Daphnia pulex: one gene and its partner. The protein of the gene in region 1 interacts with the protein of each later gene in a biochemical or structural test. Links are inferred from orthologs where the notes say so. Each region holds a gene or a part of one and is shown in the gene's direction. Other genes may lie near its edges.

Region 1 (4,234 bases):
GATATTAATATTAGGTAGAGGCTTTCCTTTGCATCACTACACATTTCCTGGTGAAATGTGGGATTTCTCACAGTTATTAGACATGGCATCAAACCATGACCTAACTTAAGTTTTTTTTTTTTCTTTTTTATTGGAAAATGTTATTTATACCCATCATTTTCAAGCCTTGACTGAAGGAACTTGTGTTCATAAATCGTTAAATTATTATCTTTCATATCAATCACTACCCGTAAAAGGACCTGTTGGAACACCTATATTGCAACCAAGTTGTGTTGTTGGTTCTACTTTGCATTCACAGGAGAAGAAAAAGCCAATTTTTCCACATATTTTCAAAAATTTATAAAGACAATCATTCACTCACCTTTTCCTACTGAACTGTTATTTCTTATCATCTTTGTTCATCAGCTTTCATATTTTTAAAAATTTATCTCTTTTTACAACAGACATTTATTCTTGTAAATTTAGGATTTCATGATCCAAGTAGACAAGCTCAGCTCGTGACAATTTATAACATTATTCTAACGTATTTCATGCGTTTAGAGTTATGATACCTGAACCACATTTTTATCACATCCTTTGCCAAATGAATGTCTAGATCAAAGTATGAGTCTGATGGCAATATCATTCAATTGCGCTCAACTCACGCTACCAACCAGGTCAAGACATATGAGTGACTGATCTCTTCATATTCTATACTACATGTTACCTTCAAGCATTTAATTATATATCAATGTTACATAGATTAGAATATTAAATAGTACTATATAAACCCCGACATGTTACTTAAAACCTCCCTTTTTAAATGTTCTATTTCTATCCAAAAATTGGAGCAACTTATATTGATACTCTCCTTCCCGCGCGAGTGGAATTTATACTTTTTATACGATTTATACTCAATGTCTTGAGAGGTGATATAACATGTATAACATAACGAACACCATCACAGTTTAACTGGTAGATGAGTGATCCAAGTCAGATCCTTTATTGGCTTTTTTCTTTGTTAACATTTCAATATTAATGCAATATTGCCAATACATAACTGACCCCACACAACAGTTGCGCAATCGTTTCATCTAATTGGACATTTTCTGCATGAACACCTCACTAAACAATTTAATAACTTTTCAAGAATTCGAAGAAAGCGGTAGCAAAAGCTATTAAAAGGATCTTAACGTCTAGCCATGGCTTAGCACGGTCGGCAAACTCTATGTCTTCCCTAAATTATTTTTTTTTTGGCCAAGAAAATCTTTGTAATGTGTGTAATAAAGCGATACAAAACTCCAAATACTTAAAACGCGATGAACTAAAGAATTGGTAAAATCATCCATAAGCTAAACTATTTGAACATGAAAGAATTTCGCGCTAATTTTGCTTTGCTTGTTCACCACCCTCTACCGTCAGTTTGGTAAACTACCGTCACTTTAGTAATGGTCGTCAAAAATGCTGTGACTCAAGCAAATCTCACATCGCCGGAATAGAAATTTTGTTTAAATAAAAGTTGTTGACAATAATCATTCTTTCTGGTATCTGAATTATCTACAATGGATAGCGGTAAATATATCTGATGGATTATTATACGACACTTCCTCTAGAAAAAGCAAGATTCGTTACTTACTAGTTTATTTGAACGTTGTCTTGCAGGGTCCGAAAACAACGATTCATTTTTCATCGAGGGACCCTCTAACACTGGCCCTAATGCAAATGAGGAGAATTTCGCCGATGATGGAGACTTTGGCCCACCCATGTCTTATCAACAACAGCATTATGGTGGACCTAGAGGCCCACCAGGAATGGGGCCTAGAGGACCGATGGGCATGAGACCTGGCATGAGACCATTTGGTGGAGGTGGTCCAATGGGCCCCCGTCCACCGTTTATGCAGAGAGGACCACCAGGAGGACATGGTGGATTCCATGGCCCCCGTCCAGGTCCACCTCAGCGTTTCCAAGGCCCACCACCAAGAGGTATGGGCCCGATGGGAGGGCCACGAGGGCCACCTCCAAATATGATGCAGGGCTATAGTGATTATCCTCGACAGATGAGACCCCATTTTTCACAGGAACAGAATGGTGGTCGCAATGGCGATTCAATGGATGGCTCTGGTGGATGGGATATGGTAAGTCAGGAAATGTTGCCTCTGTTGACAGTAGTCCAATAACTCACAAACATCTTACTTACAGCAAGGTCCACCTAATCAACCAAACGGTGGTGGCATGGGCTACATGGGTGGCCCACCACAACAAGGACCACCTCCGAGTTATGGTAATGTACCACCTCCCCATAATCAACATTATGGAAATATGCCTCCTCAACAGCCTACAGCACATGGATACGGTAACGGTAAGTTGTCTTGAAATGTGTTTAGTTTTTCATGGTACTCAACTTTCACTAATGGATTACATAGGTGGTCATCCTGGTTATCCTGGATCTGGGATGGCTCCTGCACCTGGTGGATACCAGCAACCCCATCAGTCTCAACCGCAATCTCATCTAGCTCCAGTTAGTGAAATCGACGCATCAACTGACGAAGTCTGGGTTGAAACGAAAGCAGGAGATGGTAAATCATATTATTATCATGCTAAATCAAGAGAGACTACTTGGACTAGACCCGAGGGGCCGAACGTAAAGGTTTTGACACAGCAGCAGGTAATTCGTAAAATCAGTCATCTTTCCTAAATAGAACCTGAACTTATTTTATTATTCACTCCTAGGTTGAAGCAATGGCACAGTCTGCAGCATCAAAGCCCCCAGAAAATGGTAAGATCATTTATAATTGCCCTTAAAACGAAACTTATTTTTATATTTAAATGGCAGGAGTGGCTATGCCAACTGGACCAACTCAAGGTGGTAGCTATGGACCTGGAGCTCAACAGCCATTCTATCCAGCACATCAAGGTCTGTATTCATTTTAGTTTCATTTTAACTAGAGTAGAAATAATATTAAGGGTTTTTTAAATTTCCAGGTTGGAACATGGGGGGTGCAGTGGCTCCAACACCTGCACCTGCATTGTCGGCTGGACCTGTTCCATATCCCGTTATGTTGGGATCTGATCCAGGGGTAATCATCTTTTGACCAAGTTTTTATCCAGTACAAATTTTTAATGCGTTTTGTTTTTCAGACTGATCCCATACTATTGTCACAAGCAATGGAATGGTGCGAATACCGTTCTCCTGATGGCAAGCCTTATTACTTTAATGTGAAATCATCATCGAGTGTTTGGGAAAAACCACAGGCTTTGAAAGATTATGAAGGTAATTCCCAACTTATTATTGTTTGTTCTGTTTTTCTCAAGTTTTCTCTTTGTTGTAGTGGCTCGCCTTGCCGCAGCAGCCCGAGTTCATGCCACTCCTTCTGTCCCAATTGCCCAACCCGTTCAGCCTGCTTCAATGCCCGAGGTTGCGAAAAAAGAGGAACCCAAAGTCTCCGAATCTGAAAAGGCAGAACCAGCGAAAGAAACAAAGGAAAAAGAGGAAGTTAAAGTACCGAAAGACAAGAGCAGACCCGTTTCTAGCACTCCGGTGCCTGGAACTCCATGGTACGATTGGTTTTAAAGGAGTTTAGTTACAATATATACAACTATTATTATTATCATGAAGGTGCGTTGTTTGGACTGGTGACGGAAGAGTATTCTTTTTCAATCCAAGTACCCGTTCTTCCGTCTGGGAGAAACCAGAAGATTTGAAAAACCGACCTGACGTCGACAAGTTGATAGCGAATGTCCCCGATGACAGTCCTCAACAAGGTATCAATATCTACTCTTTAAATTTGAAATGTGGCACTCGTAACGTTTTTATCCTTGCAGTTGATAAGAAAGATGAAATTAAAGAAATCAAGCCAGATAAAAAGAAGAAAAGCGAAAGCGGAACCGATGAACCTCCTCTAAAGAAATCCAAAATCAATGACGAAGGTAACATCATTCAAATTTTCCAAAGACAATTTAATGAAAAGAATCTCTATTTACAGTCATTGAAGAGGTTAGAATCGAAGAACCTACCAAAGATACTGCCATGGAGGCTGAGGTGAAAGCTGCTCAGCAGAGAGCTGTGATTCCCCTCGAGGATCGTGTTCAGCAGTTTAAAGCCATGTTGGCAGAGAAAGAGGTAGCGCAAGTGCAAAACTTTGTTTGTTTTCATTCATCACGTAGTATTGAAATTTTATTTTAGGTTTCCGCTTTCTCAACCTGGGAAAAAGAATTACACAAAATCGTTTTCGATTCCCGATATTTATTGCTGACA
Region 2 (4,024 bases), on another chromosome or scaffold:
CCAATTGCTGTTGATGTGTATGTGGATGTGTGCGCTTCCACCCGATGTTTATCGTCACAGTTCTTTCTCTCTTTTTTTATGATTTAAATTGCCCTCGTCTCCTTATTATGATTTTTTTTGTTTCCCGTCAGTATCTCGTCTTCATTCGAACTTTACAGTCGTCTAGACTTTGTGTTTTCATCATTATCCCCTCTTGAATCCTTGATTTCCAGGAACAATTGGACAATAAAGCACTTGTTTTTTCTTTTAAATTGCAGTCGTTTGGTTGTCATTGTGCGCCAAAGTAGAATTCGGCCGTGGAACGAACCAAAGAGCTTACAACATGGTATTCATTCTGTCCTTAATTATGTCCTTATAGAAACAGTAGGGGAAAGAAAAAACGGGGCGTTTGTGGTTGCGTCGACACCGATTGTAGTAGATTTATTGTGAGCAAAGTTTTTATTTTCACCTTGGAACAATCGAAATCAGGACGCAATAATTTGATCAGGAATTGGAATGGTTGTGTGTGTCCAAATACTGGAAATTCGAACGTAAACCAGTTGAGATAACGTCTTTAGATTGAATAGCAGATGAGTCAAACTGACCGTTGACTTTCTGGTTTACGATTCCCATACAAGTCCGTAAAACATTATCGCCTCTGCTGGTTTTTGAACTCATGAGCAGTGGGAGGAGTCGAGTTTACAATTGTCATTGACCTGAGAACAAAAAGAAGAAAGATGGGCTTCGTTGTGGGATTTTGTCGTGACGCTGGGGCCGGTTCTTTTAGGAAAATTAATAAATAAAGAAGCAGTGCCATCTAATATTCGTGAACTGAAATACCGTTGGTTTCAGGATTTGTCAAAAAATTATTTCAAAGGTAAAATTTAGGTGGCGATTTCAGTAGAAGGAAGAATTCGCGACTGTTCCACATATGCCAATTCTTTCATGTAAACAGAGCGCGACCATGTTCAGGATCGCGCAACCTCTCGCCAATTTTCATCTCCAATGGCGGTGAGGCAAACGATGGTCTCCTGTTCCAATTATATTACTATGTAAAAAAAAGGAAAAAACTAGTACCCAAAAACCCTGCCGACGCTGGGAAGGGCTAGTGGGTGTTTCCATGAGAAATAAACTTGCCAAGTCATCAGCCTCAATTAACCACTATCGTTATGAAGGGGAAAAAAACGACTGATAATTATCGTCATTAGTTATCTAGAAAATGGCCAGTGTGGTTGTAGAATTGTGGAATTCCAGCTTGGGATTTTCCACTGGAACTCAATTGCAAACAAACTGGTGAAATAACTTCCTGCAACTAGGACATTTTTATCTAATCACCCTCATCCCATTTAACTAATAACGCTATTCCAAAACACAAAACAAGTGACCGAAATTCAGTCGTGACTTTTTCACCTGTGGAGCAAAGTAAATTACATGTGGCCTTCTTAAATGAGTGGTGAAGTCGGACTATCGAAAACCGATTGATGTGATGGGCCTACATGACACGCAACAGGATAGATAATTATAATTGACGTGATTTATCAATGATTTTTTGAAGCCATAGTGCCATACAAACAAGCAATGATAGCAAAGCCAAGCAAAGCTGATTACGAAACCCATTCAGTGTGACAACTGTGACACCTTTATGTTATATTTCAAATGAGTCTGTTAGATTGTGGTACCTATTTAAATAGATTCTTGTCATTGACATGTTAGATTGTCGTGGTTTAACAATTATACGACCACATCATTTGGAAATACGAAAAAAATTCTTGCACGACTTTGGCCGTTACTTAGCGGTGAACTTTAAATTAGTGATTGTCTTATCATTCATCATAATCAAACCTCTAGATTTTAGATTAATTTATGGTTACTAAAGGTTTTGTAACTTTTGTTGTTGGCACTCGGCAATGAAAAGGTTTTTAAACAAATGAAAGTGAAAGTGAATTACGATTTATAAATAAAGACCGAGCATTGCCACATTGCCAAGAACGAATCAAAATGCGAGTTAATCGATAAATTAAATTTTTCATTAATTTGACAATGTCGCGTCAGCCATCTTGGCGTCTCATCGCGTCGGGCAATAATTCGGCTCTCATCATTTCAATGTGCGCAAAGTTAGACGCATTCTATTTCTGACATTACGTGTTCGGTTAATTTCTGTCCGATTGTCCACGATTTCAATTGAATTTGACCATATTTTGCTATAAGTCATGCCGAGTAACGCTCATTCAACGGGTGCCAATACTACACCTCTGGGCAGGGTCAATCCAGCTCTCACCGGTGGAAGAAGACAAGCAACTTCTTCGCTTTTAAACCCGAATTATCTGAATTCGGATGATGAAGGCTCACACGGAAGCTACGAGCAAAAATATGAGCCAAAGTACGAAACAAAATACGAATCCAAATTTGATCAGCCATCTACAACTCCCAGCTACAGCTACCCCACATCATCTTCGTCCACTTCTGCCAGTGCCAACACCTGGAAACGTGGACTGGAAGATAGCAACAACTCAGATGACAATTCACTCGGTGGAGAGAAAAAGAAGAAGAGGCGTTCACGCTGGGGTGGAGATGAGAAAGAAAAGACCTTCATTCCGGGCATGCCAACTGTTTTACCAGCAAACTTGACAAAGGACCAGGAGGAGGCGTATCTAGGTAATAGTTCTGTGCATCTGTGTAACTTAATTTTTGAATATTGTGCATTCTCATCACTTGCGTACAGGAGTGCATATTCTGTCTTGTATGAGTGTATTAACTGATTCATCATAATATTGTGTGTATTGACTTGTGATTTTTCAGTCCAATTCAAGATTGAGGAGATAACACGGAAACTGAGGACTGGTGATTTAGGCATTGCTCCCAATCCAGAAGAAAGGTTTGATATATAAAGCCAATACTAATTCGTTTCTTTCCCAATTTTTCATAGTTAATCAAAATTAAATTGTTTATATTTCAATCTTTTTTTTTTTTAATTTGTCAGCTAGGCATAAAACAATTCATTCTTTTTTATCCATTGATTGATCTATATCCATTCCCTCCAAAGACCTTTCAGGTTCTTACAAATGAGCCTAGGTTGTGATGATTAATTGGTTGACATTTTAATCTTTTTTTCACCACAAACCGAAATCGTACTAATGCCGTCTGTTAGGTTCAGATGTAGGGAGCCTATAATTTGATTTTTTGAACCTTTACAGGACGTGCATTTATTTTCAAAGAAATATTCTAACGTTCAATATAGGCAATTTATACTTGCCATTTTTTAAAATTGCTTTTTATCTCGATTTTTCTCATTGCTCAGCTGGACGGATGGATAAAATTTCAGAACATTTAATCAATTGCAAAAATAATAACTTAATCAATTTACAATTATCCTCGTCTAAATTCAGAATAAGAAAAGATAGCTCATTTTCGTATTCCCTTTGTTCTTTTTTTCCTCCTTCATTTTCAGATCGCCATCACCGGAACCAATTTACGGGACGGATGGTAAAAGGCTGAACACCCGGGAGTACCGGATGCGTCGTAAGCTAGAAGAAGAGCGCCACTCCATGATCACCAAGATGATTTCCTTAAATGCTGACTTCAAACCCCCTGTAGACTACAAGTAAGATCATTTATCTTAGTTACCATGTCTGCCCTTACTTATCACTTTCCTTGTATTATTAGACCCCCTATGACGCGCGTCTCCGATAAAGTCATGATTCCGCAAGAGGAGCATCCGGAAATCAATTTTGTGGGGCTGCTGATTGGTCCACGTGGAAACACTTTAAAATGTAAGTTTTTTGTTTATTTATTTAACCGTAACATAACATTAAACCCGATCGTTATATTTTACCAGCTATGGAAAAAGACACTGGAGCTAAGATTATAATTCGAGGCAAAGGATCAGTCAAAGAAGGAAAAGTAGGTAAGCCTTTGCCAGGCGAAGATGAACCTCTGCATGCCTATGTAACCGCCAATAGTATGGAAGCCATTAAAAAAGCTGTCGATCGAGTGAGTATTTCCATCTTGAAGTAGAAAAAAGAACAATCAATGACGCTGTTTTTGA

The links.
Region 2: the proteins of transcription elongation regulator 1-like (region 1) and splicing factor 1-like form a complex in vitro, tested with the Homo sapiens proteins (3 studies listed by BioGRID). The link is inferred for Daphnia pulex from reciprocal best matches to the Homo sapiens genes TCERG1 and SF1.

The regions. Positions count from the first base shown.
Region 1 is NC_060019.1:12,732,079-12,736,312, reverse strand, and holds the start of transcription elongation regulator 1-like, read left to right. Parts: upstream 1-1,391; 5' UTR 1,392-1,541; coding exon 1,542-1,551; intron 1,552-1,641; coding exon 1,642-2,114; intron 2,115-2,178; coding exon 2,179-2,338; intron 2,339-2,402; coding exon 2,403-2,644; intron 2,645-2,709; coding exon 2,710-2,755; intron 2,756-2,812; coding exon 2,813-2,893; intron 2,894-2,961; coding exon 2,962-3,056; intron 3,057-3,117; coding exon 3,118-3,250; intron 3,251-3,308; coding exon 3,309-3,534; intron 3,535-3,595; coding exon 3,596-3,741; intron 3,742-3,801; coding exon 3,802-3,906; intron 3,907-3,962; coding exon 3,963-4,099; intron 4,100-4,162; coding exon 4,163-4,234. UniProt on the Homo sapiens protein: Transcription factor that binds RNA polymerase II and inhibits the elongation of transcripts from target promoters. Regulates transcription elongation in a TATA box-dependent manner.
Region 2 is NC_060027.1:2,739,720-2,743,743, forward strand, and holds the start of splicing factor 1-like, read left to right. Parts: upstream 1-1,187; 5' UTR 1,188-2,189; coding exon 2,190-2,634; intron 2,635-2,778; coding exon 2,779-2,854; intron 2,855-3,427; coding exon 3,428-3,580; intron 3,581-3,642; coding exon 3,643-3,749; intron 3,750-3,814; coding exon 3,815-3,969; intron 3,970-4,024. UniProt on the Homo sapiens protein: Necessary for the ATP-dependent first step of spliceosome assembly. Binds to the intron branch point sequence (BPS) 5'-UACUAAC-3' of the pre-mRNA. May act as transcription repressor.